Callithrix jacchus: one gene and its partner. The protein of the gene in region 2 purifies or fractionates together with the protein of the main gene of each other region. This does not show direct contact. Links are inferred from orthologs where the notes say so. Each region holds a gene or a part of one and is shown on either strand. Other genes may lie near its edges.

Evidence for each region. The genes of interacting proteins can lie anywhere in the genome.
Region 1: the proteins of DNAJB6 (region 2) and MLF2 purify together in Homo sapiens (affinity purification with mass spectrometry; 3 studies listed by BioGRID and IntAct, with this or other methods). This does not show direct contact. The link is inferred for Callithrix jacchus from reciprocal best matches to the Homo sapiens genes DNAJB6 and MLF2.

The regions. Positions count from the first base shown.
Region 1 is NC_133510.1:21,020,641-21,030,433, forward strand, and holds the start of MLF2 (myeloid leukemia factor 2), read right to left. Parts: upstream 4,822-9,793; 5' UTR 4,668-4,821; intron 4,097-4,667; 5' UTR 4,069-4,096; coding exon 4,019-4,068; intron 3,788-4,018; coding exon 3,658-3,787; intron 3,410-3,657; coding exon 3,374-3,409; intron 2,229-3,373; coding exon 2,175-2,228; intron 1,771-2,174; coding exon 1,642-1,770; intron 1,487-1,641; coding exon 1,327-1,486; intron 464-1,326; coding exon 276-463; 3' UTR 251-275; intron 27-250; 3' UTR 1-26.
Region 2 is NC_133512.1:90,921,993-90,931,554, reverse strand, and holds the start of DNAJB6 (dnaJ homolog subfamily B member 6), read left to right. Parts: upstream 1-4,446; 5' UTR 4,447-4,583; intron 4,584-4,980; exon of another isoform or gene 4,981-5,243; intron 5,244-5,538; 5' UTR 5,539-5,636; intron 5,637-7,841; exon of another isoform or gene 7,842-7,945; intron 7,946-8,582; exon of another isoform or gene 8,583-9,004; intron 9,005-9,562. UniProt on the Homo sapiens protein: Has a stimulatory effect on the ATPase activity of HSP70 in a dose-dependent and time-dependent manner and hence acts as a co-chaperone of HSP70. Plays an indispensable role in the organization of KRT8/KRT18 filaments.

The sequences.
Region 1 (9,793 bases), on a different chromosome or scaffold from region 2:
TGATTTCTCAGCCTCTCAGCCTGTACCTGGAGGGAGAAAGAGAGAGGAACACAAGTCAAAAGGAAGAAAAAACTTATACACAGGCCAGGAGTTGGGTTTAATCCCGATTCCAGTGAGAACATTGTTCTCTTTCCAGCCAACTAAGACTTGTACTGTCAAACGCAGCTCCTCTGGGAGCCCAGGCTGCGCCTGCCTCGTGGCAGAAGACCATCTGCAGGTGCACTCCCGCCCTCCTTACCCTGATACTTACAAGAAAGGCTGAGGGCCCAGGGCCCTCACCAGTCATAGCGGCGGGACTGTCGGGAAGGGGAGTCCTCAGGTCCTTGGATGGCCAGGCGGGGTGGTCCCTCCGCCCTTCGTCCCCCCACCCCTGAGGACTCAAGCCGTCGAAACTCCAGGGGGCGCTGCTGCCGGAATCGGGACGTCTCCCGCCGCCACTCGTCATCAAACGCTGCGGCCTCACCTGGAGAAGACAGAGTGGACATGAGGCCTGTGTGCAGCCTCACTCCTGGAGGCCGATGTGCGAGCCAGCCACAGCTTCTCTGGCCAAAGCCGTGAAGGCTGAGTGTGTGTGCATGGCGGCAATTCCATTAGCTCTTTTGGTTTCTACATGGTCCCGGGAAGCCACTGGTAGGCCTAAGGTGGCCTACTGGAGGAAGAAATCAGAATATTATTCTTCAGGTTCATAGTCCTACGTGCACACTAGGTACTTAATAACTGTGGATTTGAAAAAGATAAAGAGAGGAGAAAGAAAAAAACGGATCCAAATGGAGAAGGGTGTAACCCTATCAACACGGAACCTCAGGGACAAAGTCAGCCCCTCACAGTGAGGACACTGCCAGCACCTGACTCAGCCCCGTCTGACACAGCCCCTGAGCTGAGGAGGTTCCAAATGCAGTAAGAATATGGGCCTACAGCTGGGCATGGTGGCTCCTGCCTGTAATCCCAGGACTTTAGGAGGCCGAGGCAGGTGGATCACCTGAGGTCAGGAGTTTGAGACCAGCCTGGTCAACATGGTGAAATGCTGTCTCTACTAAAAATATAGAAATTAGCTGGGCGTGTGGTGCGTGCCTGTAATCCCAGCTACTTGGAAGGTTGAGGCAGAATTGCTTAAACCCAGGAGGAGGAGGTTGCACTGAGCTGAAATCATGCCATTGCACTGCAGCCTGGACACCTGGGCAACAAGAGTGAGACTCCATCTCAAAAAAAAAAAAGAAAAGAAAGCAAAAGAATATGGGGTTGACCCAGAGCTTTGCCCAGAAGTTTATGGGGTAGGGAAGTCTCCTACTAGGGAATGCCAGCCAGGAAGTGGGAGGGAAGGCTCACTCTCATCCAGGTTGATATAGTCCTGCCGCTCCTCCTGGTCCCCTGTGCGATGGTTTCGGGAGCGCTGGAGGATGTGAGCCCTGTCCCGGATGTGATGCCCGATGGACATCTGTTCCAGTCCACTGTCTGAATCCCGAACAGTCCTCCGTGTCTCCCGGATCTGGGATGAGGCAGAACATGGTACACTCAGCCACCCCTTCCAAAGCCCTGGCCATCTCAGGATAAACACACCACCCACAACCCAATCCGAAAAAAGCAGCCAGGGTTTCTGTGAGTGCCACTCAATCCCAAGTTCTCTGGGATAGGAGGGCTCACCCCGCCTGGTGCCGAGCGCATCTCTGATGTCTCTTGGTAAACCTTGGGGGCACCATCGCCGGTATTGGAGTAGGAGATGACAGTAGAAGATGAGAAGGTCTGGCAATTGCCTCCAGCTGTCATGTGTTCCTAAGGACAGGGTAGGTAGGGGAGGGCTGAATGAGGAGGCACTTCCCCCCTGGTGAAGGATTTCACCCTTCAGCTCCCTGTTCTAGCCTGTATCTTTCTCACAAAATGTAACAACTGAAAAAACATCAGGACTCATTTTACCCTCCCAAATTCCTCTCAGTCCAATCACAGTCAAGAAGGACCTGAAGAGACAGAGACTTAATTGTATGCTACATAAAAGTGCTGCTGCTGCTTCAGGCAGGCATGACAGCAGATACACGGTCCCCAAGGCTCTCTGCTTCAATTACTTTATCCAGTACTTTACCCTTCACTAGCATTCTGTCTCCCTCTTGCCTTAGAGGGTTCAAGGTGTTGTCAGCCATCACTGAGAGCAAGGCCAGGGAAGGGTGTGGGGCAAGGCTCACCATGTTACCAATCATGTCGTTCATCATCCCAAACATGTCCATGAAGCCACCGGACTGGAGGAAAGAGATGGAACATAGTCAGGAAAGCAAAGTCAGTGTTCAGAGCTGATCCTGTTTAGGAACCCACGAGCCACATGGCTGCACATTTCATCTTCCTTCACATCTAGCAAGTAGTCTTTCTCATTCTCCCTTAACAGAACCAGAATACTCATGTTTCTCCTCCAGTAAGCTGCTGACCCCTCCTCAGTCTCTATGACTGCTCGGATTCAATTTTCCTTTTCCTGCCTTCTGTATTCCCCCCGATCTTTAGGAAGCAAGCCAAAGTTAATGGATTCTAAACTCTAAAGAGATAAGGCAAAGACCAGATTTTGCTAGACAATTACATCTTCCTAATGAGTATGAACTTCTAGGAGTACAAGAGTTAATAACATCTTTTCTTTTTTTTTTTTGAGATGGAGTCTGGCTCTGTTGCCCAGGCTGGTGTGCAGTGGTGAAGTCTCAGCTCTCCGCAACCTCTGTCTCCTGGGTGCAAGCGATTCTCAGCCTCCAGCATAGCTGGGACTACAGGCATGCACCACCATGCCTGGCTTTTTTGGTATTTTTAGTAGAGACGAGGTTTCACCATGTTGGCCAGTCTGGTCTCAAACTCCTGACCTCAAGTTATCAGCCGTCTCAGCCTCCCAACCAGACTTAGTAACACCTTTCGCCAGGTACAGTGGCCTACACCTGTAATCCCAGCACTCACGCCTATAATCCCAGCATTCTGGGAGGCTGAGGCGGGCGGATCACTTGAGGTCAGGAGTTCAAGACCAGCCTGGCCAACATGGTGAAACCCTGTCTCTACTAAAAATACAAAAAAGGGGCATGGTGGCTCTGCCTGTAATCACAGCTACTCAGAGGGCTGAGGCACGAGAATCACTTGAACCTGGGAGGTGGAGGTTGCAGTGAGCTGAGATCATGCCACTGCACTCCACCCTGGGTGACAGGGCAAGATGCTGTCTCAAAAAAAAAAATAATAAAAATAACACCTTTAATCCACAGGGCTCCTAGCATCTAAAAGGCTCAGAGCTTTGTGAACATCATGAAAAGAAGATTCTGGGGTTACCCATGAAACTATGCCAAAGAGGCAAATTTGGGAATAATATCTAAGGGTAGAGAGTGTGTGTGAAATGGAAGGCCCAAGGGAGATGAGGACTCACCATTCCCAGCATCCCAAAGGGGGAGACAGCTCCAGTCTACAGGAACACATGAGGAACAGAAATTAGAGACTTCATCCTATCTCCTTACAATCCCAAACCAGGCCCATGGCCTCAATTTTTGTTTTCCATCCTCTCGAAAGGGAGTCATAAAGCTCTTTTTCCTGACCCTTTCCCCCACTCCTAGAGCATTTCACTTGTTCAGTTAGCTGTAGGGCAAGAAAACTAATGTGCCTTCCTAACCACCCTCCAACCTTTGGGTCTCAGGTGTGTCTCAGCACCATTACCTGCTGCATCCTGCGGCTGGCAGGCCTGGTCCCTGGCATGTTGCCATCTGTGATGCTGAGGAAGGGGCTATATCCAAAGCCACCTGACAACATACGGCTCATATGCTGACGGTGAATAGCAAAGGGGTCCCTGTGAAGTGAGCACATAGTATGGATGGCAGAAGCACCAAGCTGTCAATCCCTCCACCACCCTGCAAAAAAATACGCACAGGGCAACAGTGGCACCAATAGGCTACTTCCTGCTAGGGGGGAGCTGGGTATCCAACCAGTTCCAACCATTCCCAGCAATGGGAACCCAGATGTCTGCCTTAACTGCTCAGAGACCTGGAGTGGGAGAGCTTGAGGGGGAGGGAATACTCACATCAGGAACATGGGATCCTCAGGCTCCACATCCCTCATGAAGCGGAACATCCTGATCTCAGCTCCGGGGAGCTCCACACTGGAAAGGTGTGGAGGCTCAGGTACGTGGAGGTGGCCAGGCTTTTGCACACCCACTCAGTGTAAGGACTCTCCGCACTGGCCTTTCCCAAACCTTGTAACTGACCCTCTAAACTCCGGGGAGACCCTACTACAGGTGTTCCACACAACCCTCTAGGGAGAGAAGAGCTCTTCAAACCTCTCTCTCAATTAGGGCCATGGAAAATTTTTCCAAGCCTCTGGGTTTCTCCCTCCCCCACTCAGTCATCCTCTTCCCAAAGCTCTGGCCGGTTGCATACTCTCCCCTCCTCCCCCAACGTCACCGTTCTAGATAAGAATCCTAAGTGCCGGTCCTCCGTCCCATTAATGACCCCAGTCACCCGCCCCCTCCTTATACCCAGGCCTCCCCCAGGCAGGCCTCACTGTGCCCCCAGCGCCCGTCTGCGGCTCGCCCAGCTCCCGCCTCCCCGGCAGGCGGGCAGGAGAGGTAGGCCTGAGCCTCTCCTCTCCCGGCCCCGCATCCCCGGCTTCCAGACCCTGCAACCCCGCGGGCCCGCTCCCGTCCCTGGCTGCCCGCTCTGCCGGAGCCTCACCAGTGCCCGATTCGGGCTCAGCGGCCCATCCGGCCGGTTTCGCTTCCCGGTGCGCTGCAGGGTCAGGATCGCGGCCCGGGACGCGGGGATTGGTCCGAGCTCGAGCTCTGCGGCCTCCCGCGCCGCCTCTTCCCACAGCTGCCACCTCCGTACCACCCCTCGGCCTACGGAGCAAGAACCTCGGCCAGGCCCGGGCGGAAGTGACGTCATCGTGCAACCGCCCACCCGGGGCCGGGCCGTGGGAGCCCCGCCCACTGGCGTGGGTGGTGAGAAGCCTGTGGCCGCGTCCCAGGGGCGGCGGGGCCGGGGGCTTGGGGCCAAACTCAGGGGAGCGGAGCCTGAGTCCGGGCGGGGGTTCCCTTTGCACGAGTAAGGGGAGCTCATTAGTAACCTGGATTTGGGTTCTGTGCACTGGAAGAGGCTCCCAAAGGCTCGGGGGGAAGGAGAAGAGGAATCTATTCCTCGGGAGGGACCGAGTTGGGGGTTGAACTTGGGGGCGCAGTGCAGCACGTTCCCTCTCCTTCCTCCAGGGGAAACTGGAGGACGAGGGGCAGGCTCTCTGGGCCACCAGGCGGGGCGGATCCCTGGGGGAAGCTTTAAGCAGACTACTGGAAAAGCGTTCTACCCTGGAGGGAGGATGGGCAGCTTTCCTGCGGGTGAGGCGCTTGGGCCTGTACCCCCTTGAAGAGGAGAGTTCCTGGCAGGGCGGAGTCCCCGGAGTGACGAAGAGGAGGAGGTGAAACTCTCCAGCTCAGATCTGGTTAGGGCTTCAGAAAATCCGATGAGGCAGAGAATCCAGGTTGCGGATTGGCCGCCAGATGGCGCTCCTCGGCCAGGCTGGAACCCGAGGCCCTTGAGAACTGGCTTTGGAGAGGGACTTGGACCCTTCCCCATTACCCATCTGTGAAGGGTTGGACCGGGAAAAGGCTACAGTTCTGAAGTCTATTCGTTTAATGCCAATCTTCCCTTCCTTTTACTCTAATTCTTGCGTCCTCAAGAGCTCCCAGTCCTGCACTGACCTTTCTTGCTTGCTTTCTTAGGTCAAAGGTCTAAAGTTTTTGAGAAGAAAGGAGTGGAGAGCTCAATTAACCTGGATCACCCAGGGGAGGAGCTAAAACGGGACCCAGGAGAGCTGCCTCCAAGGCTAGAGACTGATACTTTGACATACTAAATGTCTTGCATAAATCTGGCTCTGCTGGAGAGAAGGGCCCTCCCACTTGGGGTCAAGGGATTTGGACTGTCTAGCATGGACTTTAACCAGACTCATCCAAACTCCAGCTTTCCCTGTTCTTTACTCTGGCGATTAGCCATATTAGTGCTGTGTGGAGCCTGACCCAAGGAGAAAGACTTGTTTCCAGTAATTCCCTGGGGGAGAAGGAGGGGGTCCCTGGTGACTCAGGAAAAGGTGCTAGGAACAGGGCTTCTCAGGTTTCTTTGGACTTGACCATTATTAAAGAGGAAACAACAATAATAGAGACAGGGAGCAGAGACAGATAATTAAGATCTAAGCTGGCAGGCTGTCCAGTCAAAGGAAAACAGAATACAAGTAAATTTGTTTTTCATTGCTATTTCTGGGGAAGAGACAGCAAAATATTTTATCTTCCAGATGCTCTATCTCTGGACATCCCACCATGCAACTTCCCCTTATCCTCTTCCCCAAACGAAAGCAGTTTGACATGTGAAAAGGAGTTGTTCCTAGTAAAGGTTCTGTGGCTGAAACTTAACTAAGGAGATCCTATCGACTTTTTTTTTTGGTCCTCTTCTCCTCTTAAAGCAAGTTATTTATTGTCCAGCCAATCAACAAATGTTTAAGATTGGCCACGGTGCCTCATGCCTGTAATCACAGCACTTTGGGACGCTGAGGCAGGCGGATCACGAGGTCACAAGTTCAAGACCAGCCTGACCAACAAGGTGAAACCCCGTCTCTACTAAAAATTAGCTGGGCGTGGTGGCACACACATGTAATCCCAGCTACTTAGGAGGCTGAGGCAGGAGAATTGCTTGAACCTGGGTCGCAGAGGCTGCAGTGAGGTAATCATGCCGCTGCACTCCAGCCTGAGTGACAGAGTGAGACTCTGTCTCAAAAAAAAAATTAGCAGGCACCTGTATCCCAGCCATTTGAAAGGCTGAGGCAGGAGAATCACTTGAACCTGGGAGATGGAGGCTGCAGTGAGCCAAGATCACACCACTGCACTCCAGCCTGGGGGATAAAGTGAGACTGTCTCCAAAAAGATAAAAAATAAAAATAAAAAAAGAAAGTTTAATGAGGCTCAGCACTGTCCTAGGTACACTGTATTACGCATACATACAAAAGTATAAGACACAGTCTACCAATTTTTTTTTTTTTTTGAGACAGAGTTTCGCTCTTGTTACCCAGACTGGAGTGCAATGGCACGATCTTGGCTCACCGCGACCTCCGCCTCCTGGGTTCAAGCAATTCTCCTGCCTCAGCCTCCCGAGTAGCTGGGACTACAGGTGCACACCACCATGCCCGGCTAATTTTTGTATTTTTAGTAGAGACAGGGTTTCACCTTGTTTATCAGGATGGTCTCGATCTCTTGACCTCATGATCTACCCGCCTTGGCCTCCCAAAGTGCTGGGATTATAGGCGTGAGCCACCGCGCCCGACCAGTCTCTACCAATTTAAGGCATACAATCTTCTAGCCACCTTTTTCTTTTTTGGTTACCTGTTATTTATTTATTTTTTTTTTTTTGAGACCTCACCATTGCATACCAGCCTGGGTGCCAAGAGTGAAACTGTCTCAAAAAAAAAAAAAAAAAAAAAAAAAAATCTGCCATCAGCGATGTTTACCTTTGAATGGTTTCAAATCATAGTTAGTTTCTAACTATGAAAAACAAAGCTTAAAACCTAGGTTTTGTCCCAGATTAAAAAGAAATTGTTGGCTAGGTGCGGTAGCTCACACCTGTAATCCCAGCACTTCGGGAGGTGGAGGTGGGCCAATCACTTGAGGTCAGGAGTTCCAGACCAGCCTGGCCAACATGTCGAAACCCAGTCTCTACTAAATACACACAAAACATTAGCAGGGCATGGAGGCATGTGCCTATAGTCCCAGATACTTGGGAGGCTGAGGCAGGAGAATCACTTGGACCTAGGTGGCAGAGGTTGCAGTGAGCTGAGATCTTGCCATCGCACTCTAGCCTGGGCAACAGAGCAAGACTCCGTCTCAATAAAAAAAGAAAGAAATTGTTGATCAGGCACAGTGACTCACACCTGTAATTCCAACACTTTGGGAGGCCAAGGCAGGAGGCTCGTTTGAGTCCTGAGTTGGAGACCAGCTTGGGCAACATAGTGAGACCTCATCTTTGCAGTAAAAAAATTAGCCAGATGTGATGGTGTGTGCTTATAGTCCCAGTGACTCAGGGTTGAGTGGGGAGGATTGCTGGAGCCATGATCACACCTCTGCACTCCAGCCTGGGTGAGAGCAAGGCCCTGTCTCTCAAAAAGAAAAAGAAAGAAAGAAAAACTCTTGAACAGGTGAGAATGAAAGAGGAAATGCAAGAGCTCATTGTCAGAGTTCTTGAAGACATACCATATAGACAGGTGTCTACTCCAGGAATTGAAGGGATGGAATTTTGCAAGTAACCAGAGTTTTTGTCTGTCTTCCTTCTCCCTGTCTTTCCCTCTCCTTCATTTCCTTTCCTCTCCTCTCCTTCACTGTCTTCCTGTCTCCCTTCTTCCCTCTTCTTCCCCTCTCTTTTTCTTTCTCCCTCTTTCCCTCCCTCCCTCTCTCCCTCTTTCCCTCCCTCCCTCTCTCCCGCTCATTCCCTCCCTCCCTCTTTCCCTCTCTCCCTCTCTCTTTCCCTCCCTCCCTCTTTCTTTCCCTCCCTTCCTGTCTCTCTCTTTCTTTTTCTCTCTTCCTTTCTCTTTCCTTCCTTTCTGTCCAGTGAACGGTGGTGAACAGTGTCCCATAGGTAAGATGTAGAAGGGAGAGTAGGCCCTGTCAGGGGTGAGGCTCAATATAAGACAGATAAGGATTGTTGGAAAGGAAGAGAAACAAAGTTCCTACATTCACTATTCTATCTGATGGAGCCAAAGTCAGGAAGTCCTTGAGAGGGTACAGCTGGGCCAGAAAAGGGGCTCTCTCTTCAGATGTGAGGTCATGCCTCTGGAGCAATCCCAGGGCAGTTGGAGATTACAGCACAGGGAGGGTGAAGGAGTGACAAGGGAATGAGGGGAGACTGGGTTTCCTGCCTGAGCAGCATGAACGGGTGTGGCTGAGTGTGTGTGGATGTGATGTGCATGTGTGTTGGGAGAGAGAGAGAAACGATAAAAAGCAACTCAAACGTGCCCCAGGTAGAGAGAGGGGATGCTGACTCAGAGTGAAATGAAAAGGGACTTTTTTTTAAAGTCAGCTTTTCAGCTTTTTTTTTTTTTTTTGAGATGGAGTTCGCTCTTGTAGCCCAGGCACAATCTCAGCTCACTGCAACCTCCGCCTCCCGAGTTCAAGCAATTCTCCTGCCTCAGCTTCCCAAGTAGCTGGGATTACGGACATGTGCCACTACGTCGGGCTAATTTTGTATTTTTAGTAGAGACGGGTTTCTCCATATTGGTCAGGCTGGTCTCAAACTCCCAACCTTAGGTGATCCGCCTGCCTCAGCCTCCCAAAGTGCTGGGATTACAGGTGGAAACCACCGCACCCAGCCTTCAGCTTGTTTTTTATAGCCACATTCATTCAACAAATATATACTGAATGCCTACTGTGTGTCAAGTACTGTTCATGGTTCTGGAGACACAGTGATGATAGAAAAATAAAGCAAGGTAGCTGGGCACGGTGGCTCACACCTGTAATCCCAGCACTTTGGGAGGCAGAGGCGAACGGATCATGAGGTCAAGAGATTGAGACCATGCTGACCAACATGGTGAAACCCCATCTCTACTAAATTAGCCAGGCATGGTGGTGCGTGCCTGTAGTACCAGCTACTAGGGAGGCTGAGGCAGGAGAATTGCTTGAAACTGGAAAACGGAAGTTGCAGTGAGCCAGGATCTTGCCACTGCCTTCCAGACTGGCGATAGAGCAAGACTCTGTCTCAGAAAAAAAAAAAAAAGAGAGAGAAAGAAAGAAAAAGAAAGCAAGGTAGAAGGGGGTAGAGGACAGGCAGGCAAG
Region 2 (9,562 bases):
CAGAGTGCTGGGATTACAGACATGAGCCACCATGTCTGGCCTCTTGTTGCTTTTTTAAACTGTTGATGTTGACCCAGCCTCTTTGGAAGCTCCTTTATTTATTTATTTTTTTTTTTGAGGCAGAGTTTCGATTTGTGGCCTAGGCTGGAGAGCAGTGGTGTGAGCTCAGCTCACTGCAACCTCCATCTCCCAGGTTCAAGCAGTTCTCCTGCCTCAGCCTCCCCAGTAGCTGGGACTATAGGCATGCACCACCACGCCTGGCTAATTTTGTATTTTTAGTAGAGACAGGGTTTCACCATGTTGGTTAGGCTGCTCTCGAACTCCTGATCTTATGATCAGCCTCCCTCGGCCTCCCAAAGTGTTGGGATTACAAGCGTGAGCCATGGCGCCTGGCCAGAAATTTTTTTTTTGGTAGAGATGGGAGGCTGAAGTGGGTGGATCACCTGAGGTCAGGCGTTCGAGGCCAGCCTGGCCAACATGGTGAAACCCCATCTCTTAAAAAAAAAAAAAAAAGAGAGAGAGAGAGAGGCAGAGGTGGGTAGATCACCTGAGGTCAGGAGGTCAAGACTAGCCTCATCAACCTGGTGAAAACCTGTCTCTACTAAAAATACAAAAATCGGTCTTGTGGTGTTACCCAGGCTGAGGAATTCCTAGGTCAAGGAGTCCTCCTGCCTCAGCCTCCTGAAGTGCTGGGATTACAGGTGTGCACCACTGCGATCAGCCTGATACATATTTTAATAACAAGAAATACATATATTCCTTTTTTGAAGGGGGAAGAAAAAGCTATTTGTGGCTAGCCTGCCACTTACAATGTAAAATTCATGTCTGTGCTGTCTGCATTTCAAGATTAGCTCACAACTGCTGTAGGGACTTATTAAAGGTAAAACATCCCATGACAGTACTGTCTGTCAACACTGAGATGGAAATAAACCTCCATCGACCTCCTAGCAGATAGGTTACATGTGACAGTGCCAAGCTGCGCACATATCTGAAATTCCAGTCTTTGCTGAGATTACTTTACGTTTTATTATGAGATGCCCATACTAACACAAAATACTGTGCTATTTCTTCCTTTTGACCATTTGTATAACCAGTAAAAAAAAAAAAAAAAAGAGAGAATAGGCTGGGCATGGTGGCTCACATCTGTAATCCAAACACTTTGGAGGCCAAGGTGGGCAGATCACCTGAGGTCGGGAGTTCACGACCAGCCTGACCAACATGGTCTTTATAATAATAATTATAAAAGAAATTAAAAAGAAAACCTGTCTTTATAATAATAATTAAAAAAAGAGAATAGAGGCTGGGCTCGGTGGCTCACGCCTGTAATCTCAGCACTTTGGGAGGCGGAGGTGGCTGGATCACTTAAAGTCAGGAGTTGGAGACCAGCCTGGCTAACATGGTGAAACTTCACCTCTACTAAAAATACAAAAAATTAGGCAGGCATAGTGGCTCATGCCTGTAATCCCAGCTATTCAGGAGGGTGAGACAGGAGAATCACCTAAACCTGGGAGCTGAAGGTTGCAGTGAGCTGAGATCATGCCACTGCACTCCAACTCAGTCTCAAAAAAAAAAAAAATAGAATAGAGAATCAAGTCAGATTTTCCTTTGCTAACTGATCATCTGCTAGAAATGACATGCGGTAACACAAAGTTTAAGAAATATGAAAAATGACCTGGCACAGTGGCTCACACCGGTAATCCCAGCACTTTGGGAAGCTGAGGCAAGAGGACCGCTTGAGCCCAGGAGGTCAAGGCTGCAGCGGGTCATGACTGAACCACTGCACCCCAGCCTGAATGACAGAGCAAGATCCTGTCTCAAAAGAAAAAAAAAGAATAGAAAATATAAAGCAATCTTTCATTTTGAAGTATAAAAATTAGAGCCATTAACCAAGTGTTCCAGTTGTCTAAAATGAAGGAGCTGTAGAGGGGAAATTTTCCCTCCGGTCTCTGAGGGTTTGATAACGGAGTCTCTGAGCTAAGCTGACAGTAGACAGATTGACAAGAGAAAAAGTATACAAATTTACAACGCATACTAGGGCAACCCAGAATCCAGTGAGATCTGCAGCTCATGAGTTTTGCCTTCCGAAGAATCGGTGGGGGCCTGTGGCAAAGTCTGTCTGGGCATGGAGCTGAGGTCCCTTGGCACTCTTGTCTGGTGATACCGGTTCTTTCTTCCCTGTGGCTGAGATTTCCAGGAAGGGGGTCAAGACAATTGAGTTCCTTTGGGATGATCTATCTTTATGTGGTTAAGGGGAATTCAGAGAATGCCCCTCCCTGCCTTGGCAGGTCCCCATATGCCCTCGGATCGATGGCATACTAACTTGGTACTCAGTGTACTAGTTATTAATCAGTACCCTAACGTGGCATAATTCGGGGTGGCATTTCTTGAACTCTTTCATTACTAACAGTTCTAATAAACTACAAGTTATTCAAGTGCTAAAGGGCCTTTTACTTGAATATACCCCAGGCTTTAAGTGATCAAGAACTCATCACCGTTGTTAGTTGAGAAGGTGGCTGAGCAGGTCCCTAGAATTCAGTGTCAGCACATCACAGGATCAGGAAAGGCGTGACAAAAAGGGATTTTTATGTCTTAAAGGAAAGTACAAGGTGGGCGGGGACCAAGACAACACAGTAGCAAGCATCTGGCTCAATGCTGGAGAGGAAGACTGGGAGACGCGGGCCAGGCTCCAGTGCATAACTGCTTGTCTGCCTCCTTAGGCTGTGGGTCGACTGCACCCGTTCGCTACTGGAAACGAGTCTGACCGCACGGGGTCGTCTCCACGCGTGTTGTGTTGATCTCCAGGGTTAGAACCAGAACGCATGAGGACGCGGGAAAGACTAGAGGGCCTGGGGCTGACCTAAAGTCCAGCGATCAAAATGCTCTGCGTTTTCAGGAAACTACTGTCACGATTTAATCTAAAAAACCTCATCTGTATTTTCGGCCACAGTTTCCTTCTGTCATCATTACTTGGCGAAGTCTTCACGCTCTCCGGTTCGCCGGGGAACTCAGGGTGACTGGGCTTCCTTAAATTGGGGAGCGGGGACTTGTCTTCCCGGGCCTCTGCTTGGTTTTTTTCCTCCTCAAGCATCTGCCTTCCAAGTGCGGGGATTATACGCATGCGCCATCGCGCCCGGCGCTCTCACTGCCTTATTTGTTTTTAGTTTTCAGACAGTTTTGCTCCTTTTTTTTTTCTGAGACGGAGTTTTGCTCTTCTTACCCAGCCTGGAGTGCAATGGCGCGATCTCGGCTCACCGCAACCTCCGCCTCCTGGGTTCAGGCAATTCTCCTGCCTCAGCCTCCTGAGTAGCTGGGATTACAGGCACGCGCCACCATGCCCAGCTAATTTTTTGTATTTTTAGTAGAGACGGGGTTTCACCATGTTGACCAGGATGGTCTCGATCTCTTGACCTCGTGATCCACCCGCCTCGGCCTCCCAAAGTGCTGGGATTACAGGTGTGAGCCACCGCGCCCGGGTTTCTTTTCTTTTCTTTTTAAAAAGACGGGGTTTCAGCATGTTGGCCAGGCTGGTCTCGAACTTCTGGCCTCAAGTGATCCGCCCGCCTCGGCCTCCCAAAGTGCTGGGGTTACAGGCGTGAGCCACTGCGCCCGGCCTGACAGTTTTGCTCTTGTCTCCCAGGCAAGAGTGTAATAGCGTGATATCGGCTCAAAGCAACCTCAACCTCACGGGTTCAAGCGGTTCTCCTGCTTCAGCCTCTCGAGTAGCTAGGATTACAGGTGTGCGCCACCAGGCCCGGGTCATCTCTGTATTTTAGAGACGGGGGTTTCATTATGTTGGCCAGGCTAGTCTTGAACTCTCGACCTTAGGTGATCTGCCAGCCTCGGCCTTTCAAAGTGCTGTGGTTTCAGGCCTGAGCCACCGCGCCCGGCCCTCTTGCTGCCATTTTTAAACCAGTGATGTTGACCCAGCCTTTTTGGAAGCTTTTTTTTTTTTTTGAGACACAGTCTCGCCCTGTCGCCCAGGCTGGAAGGCGCGCTCTCGGCTGTTCTCAGCCCGCGCCCCAGCTTTCGTCCCGCTGTGGGGAGAGGCCACGCAGCTCCACAGGGGGGCCGCGGGCGAGAGGCGGGGCCAAGAGGAAGGTGAAGGGCGCGAGGAGTTCGCGGTTTCCAGAACCGGTTCCTTCTCGCCCACAACGATCAATCCCTCGTGGAGTCTTCTCGGCCTCCCTGGAGTAGGCCGCCCATTGGCTACGGCGCTTTCGGCACGTCTGGGTTCTCGGGTACCGTAGACGCGGTCTCGAGCTCCGCCCCCTCACCCCCAGCTTCCTGGCCTCCAAGTGGCGGCGGAAGGGCCTAGAACCTTCGCGAAGGTGGGGCGGGCGCCCCGACACCGAGCCCGCGGTATGGGCAGTGGAAACTGCGCATGCGCGGCGTCAGGACCGGGCGGAAGTTGACGATGCTGTGCCGCCGCCGCGTGACGCATTTCCTGTTTGTTGTTGGAGAAAGGAGAGAAAGGAAAGCGCGAGGAGCCGCCGCCACCAGCGCAGTAGTGCTGGAGCCCTGAGGAGATTCGGGCCGTCACCCCCACCTCCCCTGCGTCCCGCCACCGGTCGCCTTCGTCCTCGGTGAGCGTCTACTCCGAGGGTCAGGGAAGGTCGGCCGAGGGCCCCGCGCGCAGCCGGCAGACGGCGGACCTGACCCGGCGCCTCGCAACAGCGTGCGGGGGGTGACCGGGGTCGCCGGCCGGACTAGGGCTGGGCGGGGCGGGGGGGCCGTGGCCCGGGTCGCGGGGCGAAGGGTGGGTGGGGTCCTCTGGGGCTGGGGTTGGGGTTGGGGCTGGGGTCTGGTGCCGCCCGGCCGCGTCCTCCCCGCCCGGCGTCCTTGCTGGAGCGCGGCCCGGCCTCCGCGGCGGCGGTCGGGGGTGGGGGTGGGGCTTGGGCCTGGGAGCGGCCGGCTGGGGCCCGGGGGGCCGGGGGCGGGCACCGTGGGAGGCGTGGAGCGCTTGCTTTTCCTAAGCCTCCCGCACTTGGAGTCTGAAACCAGAAACGCGAGTGGCCGGCGGAGCAGGAATGCGTGTCCACGCCGCCAAGTTCGGAGGGAGAAGGGAGCAGGTGGTGGACTGCAGAGCGCTGTTCCTGGGAATCGCGAAGGGTGGTCAGAAGTTTGTGGATGAGCGGGCTGTTTCTTACTCTGAACGCCGCTCTACTCTGCCTTAAAGAAGCTGTACCGTGGCTCATGCGGCTCAAGTTCATCCAAGTTTATACTAAAACTTACCCAACTAGGAGGTCAGTGACACGCCGAGTGTAAACTGCAGACCATGTGTTGGCTCGAAAAAGGTTTTGGTGCCGGCGCATTTTTTAAAGGATGGATTTGCTAGTCAGATGTAAACTTCATTACTAATTTCCTCATAAACGAGGCAGGAAACAGCCTGAGTAGAAGGACCGTGCCAGCAACGAAGGGTTGCTGCCTGTGAGCCCGGAGGCTTCAGCCTGTTTGGGAAGAGTAGGCTGAGCGGCGCTCTTTGTAGTTCTCATCGTTTTTATTTTATTTTTGAGACGGAGTTTTGCTCTTTTTGTTCAGGCTGGAGTGCTGTGGCACGATCTCGACTCACCGCAACCTCCGCCTCCCGGATTGAAGCAATTCTCCCGCCTCAGCCTCCGGAGTAGCTGGGATCACAGGCATGCACTACCACGCCCAAGCTATTTTTGTATTTTTAGTGGAGACGGAGGTTCTCTATGTTGGTCAGGCTGGTCTCGAACTCCTGGTCTCAAGTGATCTGCCTGCCTCAGCCTCCCAAAGTGCTGGGATTACAGGCGTGAGTCACCGCGTCCCGCAGACTCTAGCCTTCATTGTTTACACTCTTGAGAGCCTTAAGCTTCCTTGGAGTTGGTGCTTTCACATTTCTTTCTGCCTTTTGTGATAAAAGGATGAATGCTTTTTATACACAGCGTAATGAGCTGTGCGTTTTTATGGATTATGTCGAATGTGAAATTTGGGAATTACGTTGCCTTCAATTGGTACATGTGGAGACTTGACAGGAAGTGGGAGAATAAAAGGTTGAGAAGCTTTTGAAAAATGCCCAACTAGGTTTAGTCTGCTGTGGAAGGTAAGAAAGTTGGGAATTTCAGAGGGCAAAACTTCTAAAATATTTGAAGGTCGGACATGTAGGTTCACGCCTGTAATCCCAGTACTTTGGGAGGCCGAGGCGGACAGATAACCTGAGGCCCGGAGTTTTATCAGCCTGACCAACATGGGGAAACTCCATCAATACCTAAAATACAAATAATTAGCGGGGTGTGGTGGCGTATACCTGTAATCCCAACTACACGGGCGGCTGAGGCGGGAGAATCGCTTGAACTTGGGAGGCGGAGGTTGCAGTCAGCTGAGATCGTGCCGTTGCGTTCCAGCCTGGGCAACGAGAGCAAAACTCCGTCTCAGAAAACGAAAACAAACCAAAAAAATTGGGATGAGTTCAGAACCCTCTTCAAAACGTCAGTATTTAAAAATTTATTCTGGATATGAAAGTGTTAGGTTTGGGAAGTAATTCTGGCTGTAGGGCAGTTTTTTTTGGAACACTGGGGAGTGTTGTTGAATATTGTACAGACTAAGATACGGCTATGGTATTACAGTGTGATACCTGTAACTGAGTGGCATACGTTAGCTTGTGTTTTTAAGCAAGCACTTAGTCCCTTGTATTAACTCTGGACAGTTTCAAATGACAGTGGTACCCGTCACCCCCATCAGTTTTCAAGGAAGATAACGCAAATCCAGGTTTGGGGTATGGGGTGGGATGGTCTGTTTGCACCTTTTTTATTTTTGAGATGGAGTTTCGTTCTTGTTGCCCAGGCTGGAGTACAGTGGCGCCATCTTGGCTCACTGCACCCTCCCCCTCCCAGGCTCAAGGGATTCTCCCACCTCAGCCTCCGGAGTAGCTGGGATTTACAGGCACCCGCCATCACACCCGGCTAATTTTTGTATTTGTAGTAGAGATGGGGTTTTCCCATGTTGGCCAGGCTGCTCTCAAACTCCTGACCTCAGGTGATGCACTGTCTTGGCCTCCCAAAGTGCTCGGATTACAGGCGTGAGCCCCCGCTTCCAGCTGTCATGTATTTATTTACTTTTTTTGTTGTCATTTTAAAAGATTTTTTAACAAGAGGGCACTTTAAAACTTGGGCAGGTATTTTTAGTCATCCTGAACATGTCGCTGTGGACTGAGTGTAACCCGCCTGACCGCACAGACAACGCCTTACTGTGGTCAGCAGTAAAGGTCAGCTTCTGTATTGGCTATTGCTTACGCGTATCTGTTGAGGAATAAGAGAATATAGTCAGTCTTTGTGAGTTGATGTTTTGACAGGATTTTTACTTTTTAATATTTATTTGCATCCAGGTTAGACACTGGATTAACAGGATTTTAAAAAAACATTTTTAAAACTTTTATTTTCTGAGAAATGATTCTGTTCAAAATCGGTTTGTTTAAATTTGTCCAGGACACCACCTTGTGGTGAGAGGCGGGTAACTGCAGGCTTTTTAGCGAGTAAGAAGAGTGGCAGGATTTGGCAAATGCTGTACTTGATGAATAGAACTTGAGAATCTCAGACTTAAAAAGAGGTTAATGAGACGAAAAGCAAAGTTGGTGAAAACAAGAATATGTTAGAAACGATGATGTAGGAATAGAAAAATGACGCCTACCTAGAAAAAATGATTTTCTGGATAAGTCAACTAGGAAAAATTGATGCGTTCCTTGTATTGATATTAATGAGGTGTTTTGTCAGAATCCTATGTTTTTGTATGGACATAAATCATGGTTGATCTTTTTCATGTTCTTGGAGACGTCCTAGTTGAGAAGTAAGTTGTTTTTTTTTTTCTAAAAAAATTTTTTTATTTAAATATGGAACTGCTTCATTAATTTCCATGTCATCCTTACGCAGGGGCCGTGCTAATCTTCTGCATCGTTCCAGTTTTTTTTTTTTTTTGAGACGGAGTTTCGCTCTTGTTACCCAGGCTGGAGTGCAATGGCACGATCTCGGCTCACCGCAACCTCTGCCTCCTGGGTTCAGGCAATTCTCCTGCCTCAGCCTCCTGAGTAGCTGGGATTACAGGCACGTGCCACCATGCCCAGGTAATTTTTTTTGTATTTTTAGTAGAGACGGGGTTTCACCATGTTGACCAGGATGGTCTCGATCTCTTGACCTCGTGATCCACCCGCCTCGGCCTCCCAAAGTGCTGGGATTACAGGCGTGAGCCACCGCGCCTGGCCCTATTATTTTTAAAATATATTTTTTTGAGTTAGGGTTTTACTCTCACCCAGACTGGGCAATCTCAGTTCACCCCATCTTCTGCCTCTTAGGCTCAAGCGATTCTCCTGCTTCATCTTTCTGGGTAGCTGGGATTACAGGTGTGCTCCACTACCACCTAGCTATTTATTTTATTTTTTTTGTTTTGGGGTTTTGCTCTCATTGCCCAGGCTGGAGTGCAATGGTGCGACCTTGGCTCACTCCAACCTCCGCCTCCCGGGTTCAAGCAGTTCTCCTGCCTCAGTCTTCCGAATAGCTGGGATTACAGGCATGCTACCATGTCCGGCTAATTCTGCATTTTTTTTTTTTTTTTTTAAGTTTAGGTTTTTATTGAACACATTATAAAAGAGGTTTAGTCAAAAAGACCAAAGCCCATATCATCATCAGACTCCTCGGATTCTTCTTTCTTTGCTTCTACTTTCTTCTCCTCAGCCGGAGCAGCAGCAGTGGAGAGGGCAGGACCTCCTGCTGGTGCAGCACCAGCTGCTGGAGCAGACCCACCAGCCCCTTCGTTGCAGATGAGGCTCCCAGTGTTGACATTGGCCAGGGCCTTTGCAAACAAGCCAGGCCAAAAAGGTTCAACATTTACACGGGCTGCTTTAATGAGGGCATTGATCTTATCCTCTGTGACGGTCACCTCATCGTCATGCGGAATGAGGGCCGAGTAGATGCAGGTGAGCTCGGAGACGGAGGCCATGGTGCGGGTGAGTGTGGGGCTAGCGCTGCCGGACGTGGTGCTAGTCGCCGGATGAAGGAGGGTCTCACCCCAATGCGGCCTTAACTTCCTCTGAAGAACTGAGCACTTTGGTGTCAGCTGAGGAAAGTAATTGTGCATTTTTACTAGAGACGGGGTTTCACCATGTTGACCAGGCTGGTCTTGAACTCCTGACCTCAAATGATCCACCTGCCTCGACTTCCCAAAGTGTTGGGATTACAGATGTGAGCCACTGAGCCTGGCCAATTACTATGTTTTTTTTTTTTTTTTCTTGTTACCCAGGCTGGAGTGCAATGGTGCGATCTCGGCTCACCGCAACCTCCGCCTCCTGGGTTCAAGCAATTCTCCTGCCTCAGCCTCCTGAGTAGCTGGGACTACAGGTGCACGCCACCATGCGCAGCTAATTTTTTTGTATTTTTAGTAGAGATGGGGTTTCACCATGTTGGCCAGGATGGTCTTGATCTCTTGACCTCATGATCCACCTGCGTTGGCCTCCCAAAGTGCTGGGATTACAGGCGTGAGCCACCGCGCCCGGCCTCCTATGATGTTTTTAATGAAAGAGAGTTAGTTAAGCCCGGAAGTATCTAGTAGGTTA